Linked DNA regions of Caenorhabditis elegans. The protein of the gene in region 1 interacts with the protein of each later gene in a pairwise test. Each region holds a gene or a part of one and is shown in the gene's direction. Other genes may lie near its edges.

Evidence for each region. The genes of interacting proteins can lie anywhere in the genome.
Region 2: the proteins of hid-1 (region 1) and atz-1 interact in a two-hybrid assay, tested with the Caenorhabditis elegans proteins (one large-scale study listed by BioGRID).
Region 3: the proteins of hid-1 (region 1) and mig-39 interact in a two-hybrid assay, tested with the Caenorhabditis elegans proteins (one large-scale study listed by BioGRID).

Annotation. Positions count from the first base shown.
Region 1 is NC_003284.9:2,487,182-2,494,861, forward strand, and holds hid-1 (Protein HID1), read left to right. Parts: upstream 1-1,866; 5' UTR 1,867-1,908; coding exon 1,909-1,977; intron 1,978-2,189; coding exon 2,190-2,378; intron 2,379-2,426; coding exon 2,427-2,612; intron 2,613-2,659; coding exon 2,660-2,828; intron 2,829-3,115; coding exon 3,116-3,294; intron 3,295-3,349; coding exon 3,350-3,692; intron 3,693-3,740; coding exon 3,741-3,892; intron 3,893-4,557; coding exon 4,558-4,636; intron 4,637-4,709; coding exon 4,710-4,874; intron 4,875-4,927; coding exon 4,928-5,044; intron 5,045-5,096; coding exon 5,097-5,201; intron 5,202-5,251; coding exon 5,252-5,347; intron 5,348-5,657; coding exon 5,658-5,775; intron 5,776-5,965; coding exon 5,966-6,124; coding exon of another isoform or gene 6,125-6,128; intron 6,129-6,810; coding exon 6,811-6,874; 3' UTR 6,875-7,158; downstream 7,159-7,680. Other genes in the region: K02E10.4 (uncharacterized protein), read left to right, coding at 683-787, 846-927, 971-1,035.
Region 2 is NC_003282.8:12,374,138-12,377,879, reverse strand, and holds atz-1 (Protein atz-1), read left to right. Parts: upstream 1-1,758; 5' UTR 1,759-1,826; coding exon 1,827-2,122; intron 2,123-2,173; coding exon 2,174-2,251; intron 2,252-2,602; coding exon 2,603-3,035; 3' UTR 3,036-3,199; downstream 3,200-3,742. Other genes in the region: wdr-46 (WD repeat-containing protein 46), read right to left, coding at 3,201-3,512. UniProt on the Caenorhabditis elegans protein: Plays a role in meiosis, germline development and oocyte morphogenesis. May play a role in DNA replication.
Region 3 is NC_003281.10:8,465,454-8,470,077, forward strand, and holds the start of mig-39 (Zinc finger BED domain-containing protein 39), read left to right. Parts: upstream 1-1,581; 5' UTR 1,582-1,638; intron 1,639-2,255; exon of another isoform or gene 2,256-2,545; intron 2,546-4,624. UniProt on the Caenorhabditis elegans protein: Regulates the timing and orientation of distal tip cell migration during gonadal development. May act in parallel to cacn-1 and Rac GTPases to control the anterior and posterior migration of distal tip cells.

The DNA of each region.
Region 1 (7,680 bases):
TTGATATTATTGTTTCACAAAATTTTTTTTGAAAAATTTAAACAAATTCAGTGGTTTTTGCGAGAAATATCAAAATTCCGAGGGGGTTCTATAGAAGTTGCACGGTCGTTTTTACAACTTTTTGACCTAATTCCCGTAGTTTTGAATGGATTTTTCTAAAAATTTTGAACAGTAGGTTTTTTGGCATTTAGAATCGATTGGCATAAACAAAATTTCATGAAAAATATCAGAACATGCTAAAACTCGAAAATTTAGTGGGGGTTCTATAGAAGTTGCACGCACTGTATATATACCGTATTTCCTAATTTTCGAACGGGTTTTTTCCTCATGTTTCCCATTAAGTTATGGCAAATATCATCAATTTCAATAACAACTTATGAGCCGAAATGGACGAATTTTACAATTCATACTTAAAAATTGTCCGAGTTGTACTCATGTTTTGCCTATTTTGACTTGTTATACCAAGTCTGTAAAAGTTTTCCTAATTTTTAGAACGATTTTATAATGCAAATTTTGAATTCCTAAAAATAGGGAACAAATGAAGGGGTGCAAAACTATTAGAGGTGCTTAACTAATAAGGGAAACACGGTAAATCTATATATATACATACGTTCAAAACTGTTTGAACCGCTACTCCTCGCATTTTTCGAGTTTTGAGTTTTCAATTTTTTTTTCTCTGTAGGCCGTTGCTCGTCGAAACCGACTGAATGGAGTTCAAAGTTTTACTGGAAGCACGGAATTCAAGCCATCAACTTTAAACCTCGAGAAAAATCAGCAAAACGATCCGGTACGTATTTCTTTTAACTTTTATATATTGTTTACCTTTTTTTTTCAAATCTTTTCAGAATCGTCATGCATTGGCACAAAAACTGCTCTCGTATCAAATTAGAAATGGGTGGCCGTATGACGAGCGCTTCTACAGACCAGGTTTTGAAAATTTTTCAGATGAATATAGACTTGGAAATTTCAGATGTGGATGTTTACACCGAGGAGCAAAAGTCAGAAATTGCTCGAATGCGTTTCCTACCGCAGTAACTATCACCTGACTGGTCTTTTTAATAAATCGAATAATACTCAACATCACGTGTTTTTATTTAAATAAATACCTCAGTTTATTATTTTTGTTTTGAATTTTCTTAGATTTTCATCTTGAAATTCTCGTTACATTTGGCAAAAGCATTATGGAACTAAATCTGGTTACGATTAAAATCTTATACTTACTGAGATAAAAATTTATTTGCTGCTTAGTGTTCTATAGTTTAGTTTCAAATTTATTTTTCCTTAGAATAAACTATTTTAATTCATTTTATTTCACCAAACTTACAAATAAATCTACGTTTCCGGCTAACTTGCAAGTTAAAAAAGGCAAACAACTTGATGGCCGAGTTCTTGTGGCCGAAGTTTTTAAATGAGGACTAACTGCTTGGCAGGTAATAAAGGTATGCAGTGAACCGTTCTTGTGTGCTCTTTTTATTGATTTTGTTATGGATTTTTTGATACATAGCATTCGTGTAAAAATTCCTATATCAAATCTTTGAAAAACAAATCTTTTTTTTTGTAAATATTGTAAATGTAATTAACATATCCTTTTCTTCTTTCTTCCTGCTCTGACTTGTTGTTCCACATTAGAATATTCATCATGTGGCCCGAGGGGACCTTATTGATTTGGTGGCGTTTCTCTTCCCGCTCGTTGCGTGCACGTCTGTCCCTATTACGCTCTATCTGCCTCGTCCTCTCCGCCCGCGCTTCCAAATGGAGCCTTCTTCTTGCTCTTGCAATTCATTTTTCACCCACGTCATCCGGCTGTGTTGCTCTTTTTTTTGCTTCTGGACTAACCGTCAACTTTAATGAATACTTCTTACAGGAAAAAAATAAACCAAAAACAAAAGGAAAAAAAATTGAAAAAAAATGGGTGCTCAGGGTAGCAGAGTGGATTTTAAGCAAGTTGTACTAGATGTGACGTCCAAGCCGGGAAAAGTTAGTTTTGAATCAAAAGTTTTCAAAAAGTGAAACTATTGCAAATACTGGAACTTGTATATATTCCTCGCCTTTAAATATTACCAATTTTGAAATTTTTAAGCGACTTTGTTTGGCAATATTAGACTAGTATTAGTATTTTTCTAGAAAATATTTTTGGGCCAGGTATGCCACACAAGTACCCAAATATTGCCAACTATCTAAAATTCCAGGACGATGAGACATTTTGGGATCAAGCTTGGTGGCCAGATTCAGTGAACGAGATTTTCGCCATGATTTCCGGAGAAGACATTCGAAAGTTGAGAGATGAATCGCCGAAAAATCTAGCCACACTCGTTTACAAAACCGTCGAAAAACTGCAGTTTTCTAGAAATCATCCGGCTACCATTGATCAGAAGAAGGTTTTTTGATTGGTTTAATTCAATTTTTAAATTATTCTTTTTTTCCAGACTATCAACGCAATTCGACTGCTCACTAGGATCGTACCATACTTGCTCGAAGATGCCGAGTGGCGTGGCTACTTCTGGTCTCCGATTCCCCATGGCGACGCTGCAAAGCCGCTGGCTGCGGTACTTCTTGAGACACTCTCAGATCTTCTTTTCTGCCCAGAATTCACAATTACACATGCAAATGGAGTGAGAAATACTAGTTCAAAGTAAAATTAAAACAATTATGGTTTCAGCAAAAAATCGACGATCTTTCCACAATCGATTCGTGCGAGTACATCTGGGAAGCTGGAGTAGGATCTGGAAATAAGCCTCCAATGGTGGCTCTGCACTATCAGAATCGGACGGAAATATTGAAGCTTCTGCTTACATGCTTTGCAGAATTGATTTATGCGCCGGTTTCAGGTAAGCATCGTTGTTTCGAGTTGTTCCTGAAATTTCAAAATTTTAAAAATGGAAACTAATAAAAGTTTTAAGGGTTCTTGGATTACTCAAGTAGTGTCGGAAAATTAAAAATAACGTCAAAACTGTATTAAAATACATAAAAACATGTATTTTACAATTGCCTCGCGCCCCTTGTTATAACACACAAGTTATACCACTTTTATTTCTCCACAACAAAACAAACGTTTTAAAGGTTTAAAAAGCTATCTGAAAATCTACTACTAAAAATTAAAAAAAAATTATTCCAGACGAGACCCGACTTCGGTGGGTTATCCACTTCACGTCTGTCACAAACCCGCACGTTCTTCCCATTTTCACTTCGTTGCTGAACATCGTTTGCGCCTACGACCCCGTTGGCTACGGATTGCCCTACAATTATTTGCTATTCAACGATTCTAGAGAACCACTAGTCGAAATTGCTCTCCAGGTTTCTTTTGAAAAATTTTGTTTACCAATAGTCACCGTTTTTTTTTGTTGTTCAGGTGCTCATTGTATGTTTGGACAAAGAGACTCAACCGAACACGGATGATTCCGGATATAAAGACAACTACTTCATCAATTACCTAAGTAGAATTCACAGGGAGGAGGATTTCGATTTCATGCTGAAAGGAATCACACGACTTCTCAGTAACCCCATCCACTCGTCGTCATCTTACCTTCCAAACTCAACGAAAAGAGTCAACTTTCATCAAGAGCTATTGGTGCTTCTGTGGAAATGCTGTGAAATCAATCAAAAGTTCATGTTCTACGTTCTGAAAACTTCTGACGTTCTGGACATTCTCGTACCAATTTTGTACCACATTTCAGATGCCCGAAATGATTCTGGTAGAACTTTTGAAAAACTGAAATAACAAAATGTAGCAATATTTTCAGGAAGAGTTGGTCTCATCCATATGGGTGTTTTCATTATTTTGCTGCTCAGTGGAGAGCGAAATTTTGGAGTTCGTCTGAATAAGCCATACACAGCCAAAGCAAATATCAATGTGCAAACGTTTACTGGAACACACGCAGATTTATTAATTTTAGTGAGTGCTTGATGTAGATGAAATTTGAACTATGCATTTAAAGAACTAAAAGATATTCCAAAAAATATAATATCATCCAACTTTAACTACATGAGTATCATATTATATTTTGCTTAAACATACTAAAACATGCCCAAAATAACCGAATTTTATAATAAGACTTCTCAAGAAATATCCGAAAATTTTTTATGACTGGTCAAAAATAGGGTTCAAAAAAGAGCAAAATTTTGCTGAAATCTGAAACTCTACCAACTTTTTCTTGTCACAACAGCGTAAATACAGTTTTTATTTGATTTATCGTTTTTAATGCATATTCTGGTAGTTTATCTCGCAAAAATTTTCTGATTATGACATATTTTAAGCAGTGGGGCAGGCATCCAATTTTAAGCATTTTTGCGTGCTTATGGGCTTAAAATTTGTCTGGTCCAACGAATATACACGAGATATACTACCTAAATATGCAATAAAGGGTCACGAATATCTAATAAAACTGTATTCTAGCAGCTACTGCGGCAAAAAAAACACGTTGGTGAAATTTCAGATTTAAGTAAAACTTAGCTCTTTTTTTCAAAATTTTGACCCGTTATAAAAAAATTTCTGAAATTTTTTTGAGGAGTCTCATTATGAAACCTTGAATATCCCTTCTCTAAATTGGTTTTTTTCAGGTTATCCATAAACTAATCACAACTGGAAATTACCGCCTGCAGACCCTGTTCGATTGTTTCCTGACAATAATGGTGAATGGTAAGCAGCGCATTAGTCAATACAATAAAATCACGCAAAAACACTTGATGAATTAAACACTTGAGATTTTCAGTGTCTCCATACATGAAATCGCTATCAATGGTGGCGGCAAACAAACTCGTTCATCTCGTCGAGGCATTCTCAACTCCTTGGTTCCTGTTCTCATCGCCCACAAATCCTCAACTAGTTTTCTCACTTCTTGAGGTGTTTAACAATGTTATCCAATACCAATTTGATGGTTTGTCATTGCAATTTAAATTTTAAATTTAAAATCAGTCTTGGTTTTTTCAGGAAATTCCAACTTAATATATACAATCATCAGAAAAAGGAATGTATTCTACCAACTTTCCAATTTATCAACGGATGCTGCTTCCATCGCGAAAACCTTATCAGGACGAAAAAGTAAATGTAAGTAAAATATTTCATTATTCGGATTAACCCTTTAAAAAATGTGTTGCAGCTGCTAATCGTGACGAGATGGTAGATCAGCTGAAGTCCCCAACCTCTACCGCTCCACCGGAAATCCCAGCAGCTGATGCTCCCGCAGCACAGACATTAGGAGGAGGTAGAGCATATTATTTCATGTTTGAATTATAAATGTCAACTAATTTTCAGTGAGCACAACGACGGGACTTGCAGCAACGCCAGCTCTTGCTTCCATGACAGGAAATGTTGGAAACTGGGAAGAACGGCCGGAGTCTTCGCAAGATAGTAAGTGGCAAATGTTTAGAAAATATATTTGAAATCATTTAAGTGATGCTAAAATGTCCAAATATCATTGTAGTGTTATAAAAATGGTAAAATTTTACCCAAAAAAACTTTGATACTAATTTTTTAGGCAACTTCTAGAGTTGAATCTGAACCACATTTCGCAAAAATTTGGCGACTTACCAAAACTTTAACTCATAAGTTTTGAAAATCTGAAAATGTTTTCTTATGTTGGCCGAATGTATTTAAACTGAATCCCAACTCACAATACTGCTTGAAAAATTTTAAATTCCAATAAAAAAAAATTTTGTAGACGAGTGGATAGCAACACAAGAATGGGCCGATGCATGGAAGTCGAAACTTCCTCTGCAGACTATCATGAGATTGCTCCAAGTGTTGGTGCCGCAAGTTGAAAAAATTTGCATCGATAAGTGAGTTATTAATTTTGAAACAATTTAACTACATAGCATTTCAATGTAAATGTAAAAAACAATGTAAAAATGATAAATAAAACGACAACGGTTAGTCAAAGTTGAGAATACTATCTGAGGATATACGCTAGATACTTCATATATATAATTATTAAATTTATTTTCCTAAAATGAAATTCAATATTTACAGAGGCCTCACCGATGAGAGCGAGATTCTGAAATTCCTTCAACATGGAACTCTTGTGGGACTTCTTCCAGTACCACACCCAATTGTAATCAGAAGATATCAAACGAATATTGGCACAAATCACTGGTTCCGCATCTACATGTGGGGAGTCATTTATCTCAAGTAAGATTTTGGGCTGGATGGTCTATAATAGGAGCAAAACGTCTGGACTGAAAATGTGCCGAAATGAACGAGTTTCGTAATGAGACTTCACAAAAAATTATTAAAAATTTGTTTTGGCAGTTCAAAATTTACTAATTCTAGCTGAAATCGTAAATTTTGCCCATTTCACAGTGGTGCAGCCGTCCGAAGTTGACTTTTTCTAATTTTTCATATTTTCCGGCATATTTTGAAAGTTTATCTCAAGTTATTTCTTTGATTAAGGCACATTTAAAGGTAAACCATATTCAACACAACATTTTGAATCGTCATAAAAAAATTTCCGAAAACTTGTTGAGAAGTTTCATTACAAAATTCGTACATTTGAACACACTTCTAATCTATACTAGGGCTTCCATGTAGGCGCCAAAACGCTTGCCGCGCACGCCTGCCTTGCGAGCCGCGCATCCTGCATAGTGTGGCCCGGAACCCAAAAAATGTCGGCCGCGTCGAAAGAACCACTCTTCGCACAATATGGTGTGAAAACCAGGCTTTTGATTTCACGCCATGGTGCATCAGGAGGCAGTCGTCAGGACCTGAAACCGCGCCTGGCTCCCATGGAAGGCCTAGTCAATACCTTCTAAGTACCCAAAAACCAATACTCTTCTTTTAAGAAGATATTTCGCAACATCACATGTCCACTTTTTCAGACACACACAACCCCCAATTTGGTACGACACCGATGTGAAACTTTTCGAGGTTCAACGAGCGTGAACAATCTAGAACATGTGTCACTTTATGAATATCGCTTGTGCATTATCCTGCATTTCGCATATCTTCTTTATGTTGTGCATGTGAAGTTTTTCTTGTTTTCTTCCTCTCATTCTCATCCCCATTTTTTTTTCAATACCACATCAAACAAGCGTTCGAGCTTCGTATATCTGTGTTCACGTAAATTGATTCTCTCTTTTTTCATTCAGCATTTTCTGTTTTAAAATTTTTGAAATTTTAGATCTCTGAATGTTTCTTGTGAAAAAAATGAAGTAAAAACCTTATTTATATTCATATTCAAAAGGCATAATATCACTGGTCTTTTGACAAAGGACGTAAGAAAAAAGTACGCTGTCCTAATGTTCCCGGCCGAAAACTCAATTTGCGTTTCACAAAAAAAAAGTGAACCACTGCCGGAAAATGATGTATTGAAGCTACCGGCTAACTGAATTCTCTATTCTAACAAAATTTTGAATATGCTGCTTTTTGTGGAAAATCAGTTTCTGTCATGAGAAGAACTATGCATTATTGTGTATAATTGAAGATGGTGCATCGTCAAAGGGGGTTAGTCTAAATACATTTATGTATAATAGTTTAAAACTAACGAGAACCACAGTTTTAACTTTTAAAATAGAGTAACGGCAATGAGGGGATATTGTTTGAATAAAACCACTCCTATGGTGCCAAAATTACCAAATATAACAGCGCGGTTCTTACTACACTGCTGAAAACTTTGGTAGCCGATGTGCAACATCTTCGATCTTGTCTTAAATTGAATGATATATAATGATTTTTAAGACTGCTCCGTT
Region 2 (3,742 bases), on another chromosome or scaffold:
GACTGGAACTTGTTTGGTGAGTTTTCCGTAGTTTGAATGTAACTTTTTTGAAGTCTATAGATCTATACTTTAACAGTGTATCATTTTGAAAGTATAAGTTTCTATGGAAGTTTTGAAACAAATAAACACTTGGGGATATTTGATCAAAACATTTTGAACAATTTTTTAAGTTCAGCCAAAAAATTGTGTAAAAGGGAAATACGAAAAAGTACTTTAGATGTTCTAGAATATCTGAAAGTCGTGAATTGTCAAGGACGTACATCATTTTTTTTTTGATGAATATTCCAAAATCTATTACCAAAATACATTTTCATTTTCGGGCAAATTTTTGGTCTTTTTTCTGTCAAACTCTGGGCACGTTTTACGGTCGTCGAAACTATATAATCTTTTTGCCAAATTTTTGCTACTTTCTGCCAAACTTTGGGCAAGCTTCTCAACAGTAAATGTTGACAGGAAGTTTCAAACGTTTCGCAGAATTCACACGCATATACTGAATAAGTTTCAAAACATCCGAAATTGGGAATACCCGAAGTCTTGAAAAAAAATGAAAAAGGTTTGAGAGTTTTACACTTTTTCCAGAACGCAGAACAATGCAATGGAAGGACAGGAACTCCACCCGCATCTGTCGCAGAATTCAATTTGAAATCTTGGGCTGGAAGAGACTTTTATGCAGTTAATCTAATCGATGGTTACAATCTCCCAATGTTAATTGATGGGTTGGGATGTCAAAGAGCCGGTGGATGCATCTCTGATGTAAATGCTGCATGCCCTACAGAACTTGCAGTGAAGAGTAGTTCAGGTTACACTGTTGGGTGTAAATCTGGATGTCTTGGATATGGAACTGATAAGGAATGCTGCCGTGGGGAGTATGATTCTCCAGATAAATGCACAATGAGCTCTACAACGAAGATGTTCAAGAATGCATGTCCAGGTGCATACACTTATCCATTTGACAACTCAACAATGTTCGTGTGCTTGAAACCTTCGTCGTATACCGTTCAATTTTGTTGAATTTTTGAATTTTTTACCAAAAACTTAACTGAAATTTCTAGATAATTTTTTTTTCGAATGAACTATTTTCGGTTTATTGAAAGTTTTTGATTCTTGCTTCACTGATAACATGAGAAAAAAGATACAGTTATCTGACCAATCAACTATTTAATTCGGCGTCTGTCATGCCAACTTTTTGGTTAATATTCACAAAAAAAAGTGTTGCAGAAAGTTTGTAGCAGAAAGAAAATGCCTAGAATACAAGTTGGTAATTGAAATTGGAATAATGTCTGTCACCTATTTTTGATTCAACGTTTGGTAAAAAGAGCTTCAGATATTGAAAACTAATGGAAACTTTGAACATGACACCTTTTTTTACCCAAAAAATGTAAAAATGCAAGAAAAATATATTAACTAAAGTTCTGACTATCAATGACCGTTCTTTAGGTTTCAAAAAATTAATCCAGATAATTTTCACAGCCACAGTTTAGGTAGTACTGCCATTTCTCTTGACAATGCATAACATTTTAGGTGGCCTTTTACAAATTTGAATATGCATTTAGCTCATCTAGTTCACTAATTACCCTTTTTAATGAAGTGTTTCATTCCAATAAACGTCTCCTATGACCTAATCTCCTTCCCTTCGAGACCATATAGAGAGAGAGAGAGAGAGCAAACATAGTATGTCAGACAATGATGACGTGTCTACCTCTTGGAAAGGTCAACTGCTACGGTAGATACCATCTATTAGCAGTGCTCCTCTTCTTGTCTCATTTCACTCGCACAGGTCCCTATCGACTGGTTGTCACCCTTTTTCTGTCTGTAATATTCAAATAATGGCTTCGATCGAACTCCGCAATGTGCAAACCGAGCTTGCCGCGAAGAACTTGCAATTCAAAGTGCTCACTGAAAAGTTTTTGGAGCAACGAAAAGAGCTTTTCGATGCGAAGAAGACTGATTCGAATGTCGAATATGTGGAATGTTTGAGTGAGAAATTGAGAGTTGCCACGGAAAGAATTTCGGATCTTGAAAAGGAGACGAAAGAAGGAAAACAAGTAGCAAATGAGGAAATTGGTCGATTGGAGAAACTTTTGAGGGAAGCACAGCAGAAAAGGGATGCGAAAATTGATGAGTGAGTTTTTAAGAATTTGAGTTCCTAAAATTTATCGAATTATTTTTTCAGGTCATATCAGACATTCTTGAGAATCGAATTACTTGTGGCTAACCTTGGTGAGAGCACAGATCCTGAGAATGAAAAACGGTGAGTTTCGGAGCCTACCCAAGTTAAAACGCAACGCCTCTAAAGTTGGGTCTCGTTAGGTATTGGCGAAGGCAAAATCAGAAATTCAAATTTTTTCAAGAGTTTTTCCACTATTTCTATGTCGAAACAAATCATGTAAAATACACGAGAAACCCTTATTCAAATGCATCTTTAAAGACCATTTCGACATTAAAATCGATAATAACAACAAAAACGTTTGAATTTACGAGTTTCCTGCCAATACCTAATGAGACCCATCATTGGAGCGCGCTTGTGCCTTGATGATTTCAAAAAACCATTTTTTGCGTCCCCATAATAACAAGCACAAATGCAAAAAGTAACACTTTTCAGAATCAAAAATTTGATGCCAGCAGCGAAAACTGGTATTCCACCAGAGGGTGTTTTGAGATTGACGATTAATGCATTGGACAGTGCTGCTAGAGAATCCAAGAAAAAGACGATGGCCATCGAGAGCCTCACGAAACAGGTCGACGATGCGAACAAGCTCACTGAAGTCTATATGAAACGGCTTGAAGAGCTGGAGGACAAGCATCGATTCGAAGAGGCGCTCACGTTGAAGATCCAGGCGATGATGATCGAGACGACGGGGCAGTTGGAAGCCCAGAAGAAGATCATTGCGGATCTTCAGAAGAAGAATGACGATCTTATGAAAGAAGAGGAAGGGGAAGAAGATTATGAAGAGGAGGAGAACTACGAGGTTGAAGAAGACTTTGAGGATGAGGAAGAGTATGATGAGGAGGGAGAAGAGGAAGATTACGAATAAAATACATACTAGTTTCTACTTTTTTATTTTACTGTTTGTTTTTTCCTTCGTTTCATAAATTTCCAAATGTCAAATCTTTTAAAGAAATAATTTCAAAAATTCAGTAAAAACAAAACGAAAATAACGCAAAATCAACAACAACAAAAAATAAAATTGATTATCCTTCTATTTGAGACGATCCAGAATGTGTTTCTTTTTCGGAGCCTCGTCATCCACTTCCGGTGCTTCAAAAACTTCCTTCTCCACCGCATGTTTCTCCATATTCCGTTCCATTCGAATCTGATCCTTGACAATATTCTTACGAGCCTCCATCTTCCAACCACTCTTCTTGCTGCGCATCTTGTGACGTGGCGTATATTGAACAGCCATCGGACGAATGTAGAGAATCTTCTTTCGTTCTTCCTCTTCCAACTCGAGAAGTCCCTCATTGACCTTGTTAATGTCGTCTGGGTTAAGACTGATGAGCTCCGGTTGAATCTGAAAATTAGAATTTAGTTAGCATTACAATTTTTGCAAAAATTTTTTTCGCTTGCCAAAGAAGGGTCTTCTAAATTGCTGTAGTATAAGAAAACTCCGAATTTTCCGTGGAAAACTTTTGTGAAATTTAGAACCAAGTAGTCTGAAATAAATTTTCAAAAAAAATCTCATTTTTTTCGAGATTGAACATAATTTTGTAACTAAAGTTTTCATGAAATATAGAGAAATCA
Region 3 (4,624 bases), on another chromosome or scaffold:
AAATGAACCACACAGTTCATATTTGTTTCTCACTTGGGTGGTCGTAAAAAAGATAAAAACTGATTAAAAGTTATGCCTGCTGGGGCTTTACCACAATATATATATTTCCCTGATGCCACCTTAACCTCTACCAGGTCAAAACTTCATGCAACCCTTCAAAAAACCACCACCAGAAGCATCCCGTCTATCATTGCTAAATGTTTGGCAAAAATTATATGACCCATGGGACTGGAGAAAGGTTTGCCCTTATTTCTTGGATCCGGAAATTTTGAGAGTAGTACTCGTAACTCAAAATGAGATGGACGATGCCCTCTGGGCACTTTGCTCCTGATTTTTAGATTTTTTCAATTTATTTTTGTAAGGACCTAACAATAGAGAAACCTTAAAACTCGACGAATATTTTGAGAATGTGTCCCAAGTGTTGTGTTATCCCATACCCAAAACCCGTATTGTCCCTTCGTTTGTTTTGCAACAAACGAGCCAGCGGCTCCTCTTAAAGAGCTCAGCTCGACTCGGGCTTCAACATGAGCGCGCGCCAATTTTTGATGGATTATGTCGTTTTGATGGGTAAGAGCACCTGATGCTCCTTAGGGGGATGCGACTCGGATACACGAGCCTGAAGATGGGGAGAGTCCAGCGTTTATGGTGTGTGAGTATGATTGATGGCCTAGGTTCGTTATACACTATGACAACTCTTCCTTCTTAGTTTCGACATCATTGTGAGGCCTAAACAAAACTCTCTCTGTGATTACATCTCTTGTCTCACTTATTCCCGATTGGCTTACCGTAGTAGCTTCTTCTTGTAGGTCGCGTATAAATACTACTTGGGTGGGTACTGGTGGAATCCAAGTTTCATTTTTGTTTAAGTAAAACTTTTTTCTGTAAAACCAGGTACCTATCAGGGCCACAGAAAAGGTATCCACAACTTGTCTGGTCGATTTTCTGCCAATTCGATTCGTTGGAAATTCTTAATTATTAATTTTACGGGAAGTCGTAGTAACCAGCATTTTAAAATCTGAATTGGGTTCTACAAAAGATTAACCGGACCCTACATGACTTCAGTGAATCTGAAATCGTAGACTTCTAGATGCTCATTTCAGCTACATGCTTCAAATAGTCCATATCATTCAGTATTATCAAATCTTATTAAATTGAAAGAAATTCAGTTTTTTAACCCAAACGTTCTATTACCAGCATCTCCAAAATACCTCAATTCCTTCTCAAAAACATATCCATTCACCTATTCTCATATCCATGTCCTTCGACCATTTGTCTTTTCCTTCTTCGGGTTTTTTGTCGCAACGCCCTTTTTTGCTCATCCCAATATCCCTGTGTGAAGCATTTTTTCTCAAAAATCCAGAGAAACACAAAAAAGAGTAACCCATAAATTTGCGGCATTTCCTTCACCACCGAAAGACGAAGCCCTCATTTCCAAATAAATTCATATTTTTTTGTGGTTTCTTTTAGGTTTTGTAGATCCCGATAGCCGCCCAAATTTTCCCCATGGGACATGAGATTTCATTTGTTTTATTTCTTTACTAATTTAAATTTTTTTAAATTAGAATCAAGACCAATTTTCAGGTACTATTGCCACAATTGCTGAGATCATTGCACAAATCCCAGGAAAACCCGAAAAACGTAAGTTAAACCTAAAAACTAGAATAGTGTGTATACTATAAAACCAAGTCAGAAAATATCTATATAGTTATGATGATGTTTAGTAAATATTGAGAGAAGAAGGAAAAAAGAAGGAATGGTATTTGTGAGTGTTTTATGGGCGATTCGCGCTCCACATTTCACTCAGTACCTGACAGTTTATTGTTATTTATTTTTAGAGAAAAGTAAGAGTTTTCGAATTTATCAACTTTCAAAGGTTTTATGAAAGAAATTTTGGTATACTTATTTACCCACTGACCCACTGAGATTATTCAAAAATTTCGGATAGCTTTAGGTTTTCTTTTTACAAAATATGATATTTTGTTTTTATTACACTTTACCAGTTAAAAATGTTTCAATATACAATTTAGATTTAAACATTTATTGACTGTCAAAACTGAAAATCTTCCAACCCAAACCCTTCCAATTCATTTTCCATAACTCGCACATTGTTCTTCTATCATTCAATTTAGCAATAAGTGGCTCTCGAAATCTTTGTAGGTCCCACCAGTTGATGAGAATCCACGAACACTTTACACCCAAAGAGTTTTTAGGAGGTCTATTGATGAAAAGACACGGAGGGGCCGGATGGTTTTTGGGAACAAATGAAACCATCTGGTTTTGGTTACCACGGAGAAAGAGGGGGAAAGAGCAAGTTGGGGAAATGGGCAAAAAATAAAGAGGAAGAGCACTTCGGTGTTGGGAAAATTTGAGTCACTTTTGAGTTTTGTTAGACCAAATTTTTGCTAAATGATTTTAGGATATGGGGAGAGTATAGATAACATTTAGCATATATAGTAGGTTCATCTTCAGGTGTTCGTATAACTTTTCAATCAAATTTTGCGATTTCAACGAATTTTTTTTCTAACTGCCAATAATTTACGATCATATCAATTTCCAATAGGTTGAGCATGTTTATTTACTCAAATTTCGTTCGAGTCGTCCATTGTATAATATGAGTCAATTTTCCACCAATTTTCTCTTATTCCTCTCTCTCTTTTTCTCGTTTCCTCAATCACCCATCACTACTGTTTGAGAGCCGTCCTGTGACAATGTATGCTGACTCATTTTGTATTTTCCTCTTCCGAAAATTGGCGATCATTACTATTATTTCTGTGTACCGCCCTTGTCTCAGCCATCTCCTCCTGCTAGAATGGTTTCATGAACATTCGTATATTTAAATAAAACAGTTTAGGTTTCGAAATGAACAGTGAAGTTGTGGCCGAACAAGTTGAGATAGCCCACTTCTTTTTGGCGTCTTCTGGGGTAGATTCATATCTTTTTTATGCGTATTTTGGTGGGAGGGGGCCGAGACAGAATTCAAGATCCTCCTAAATATGTATGGTTTCTGAACCGTTGCATATTACTTTTCAAATCCATTTTGCTCTTATTCAATTATTTTCCCAATTTTTACACAACCTGTAAATAATACCACGAAGTCCTTTGAGATAACCAAACATCATAATTAAACACTCCAAAAGTTGTAAGATTTTTGTAAATTTTATGCCAAGGCCTTGGTAAATGTCCAAATTATCTAGTTTCAGATTTTTGAGAAATTCAGAGTATTGTTGCATTTTTGAATGACTTCTAGGTTTATCAGTAGCAAAAACTTTGCAATCGCCATTGATTGACTAAAATGAAAAAATTTTCAAAAAATGTTATGATATTTTTCTTTCAGTTTAAATAAACACTTTTCTCTTTAGTGCTCCTCTACTTTTAAGCATTTAAAAGTCTTATTGAACTTTCAAATTATTTATTCTTTGAAAACTTCCTCTATTATCAAAAATCAAGGGTTTCTACCACGCAAAACCAAAATAAATCAAATCAAGATATTCAAATAATTCTTCATTTTTCTTTTTCCCTTTCATTCCCATTTCCCCAAAATCCGTCGCAAAATCGGCTCTTGGACACACGCCGATCACCTCTTCTTCTTTCATCTAGAATCCGTCGTCATCCTCTCGCGTACAGCCAAGTAGCTTACTGATAAGCCAGCAGCTCCTCGAGCCGTCGGGTTTTTTTCAACCGTGTTTTTAACATTCTAGGTAGATATAGATATAACTCACCGGTATTATCGTTTCATTTTAGTATTGAAAACAAAGATTATCTTTTGGGTATAAGAAAAAATGAAATAGTAATTTTGAAGAGTGGTATTCCAATTTTTATTACCTATAGGATAATTTATTGTTTTTATTATTTTTGCTGTGAATAACAGTATTTGTCATATATTAACATCTATCAAGAAATTTCAAAAACTCTTAGACTATCATATTCTATGTTCTACAAGCATATTTTCTTGATAAGTGTGACGTCACACACGGTTTTTAAACTTATGGTAAGACTCGATTTTAATATTCAATAAAAATATCCCTGTGTTTTAAACTGCGGAGAGACCGTCAAATCACCAAGAGTATTTCAAATGCTCAATTTGTGAACTGCGCTAAAATAATTTTTTGAAAATCCGTAATTTATCTAACCATATTCCTAATTTTGGCATTTCCATTTTGAATTTTTTTCCAGTCTTTGAAATTGTTTTGCTATCACAATCAAAAAGTTTAATTGAATGTTGAAAACTACCAACTTCTAAATTGAAATATTATGTTTCTAAAGTATAATGGAATTGAATTTCATTTTCAACTTTAGTTTTATTTTTCAACAAATATCAATCTAAAGAAAAGCCTACAGGTAATCCTAGTTATCCGCTTTGCAGTTTTTGGAGAGTTATTGAATCATAAAATCTTATCAAACTGCACAATAGTTAGGAAATAGTGGAAGAAAATCAGTAATAGAAGGCATCTATGGTAGGCAAGCATTTCTTTATGCCTGCCTGCCCATCGCGTGGCCACTTACAGTTAGGCAGAAGTGTTGACACAAGGTATGAAAAATTATTACATCTTCCATCCAAAAAAACGTTATGGAATATTTTAAAATGTACTGAAGAAATAATTTTAAAATCTTTTTCTGTCGGAAT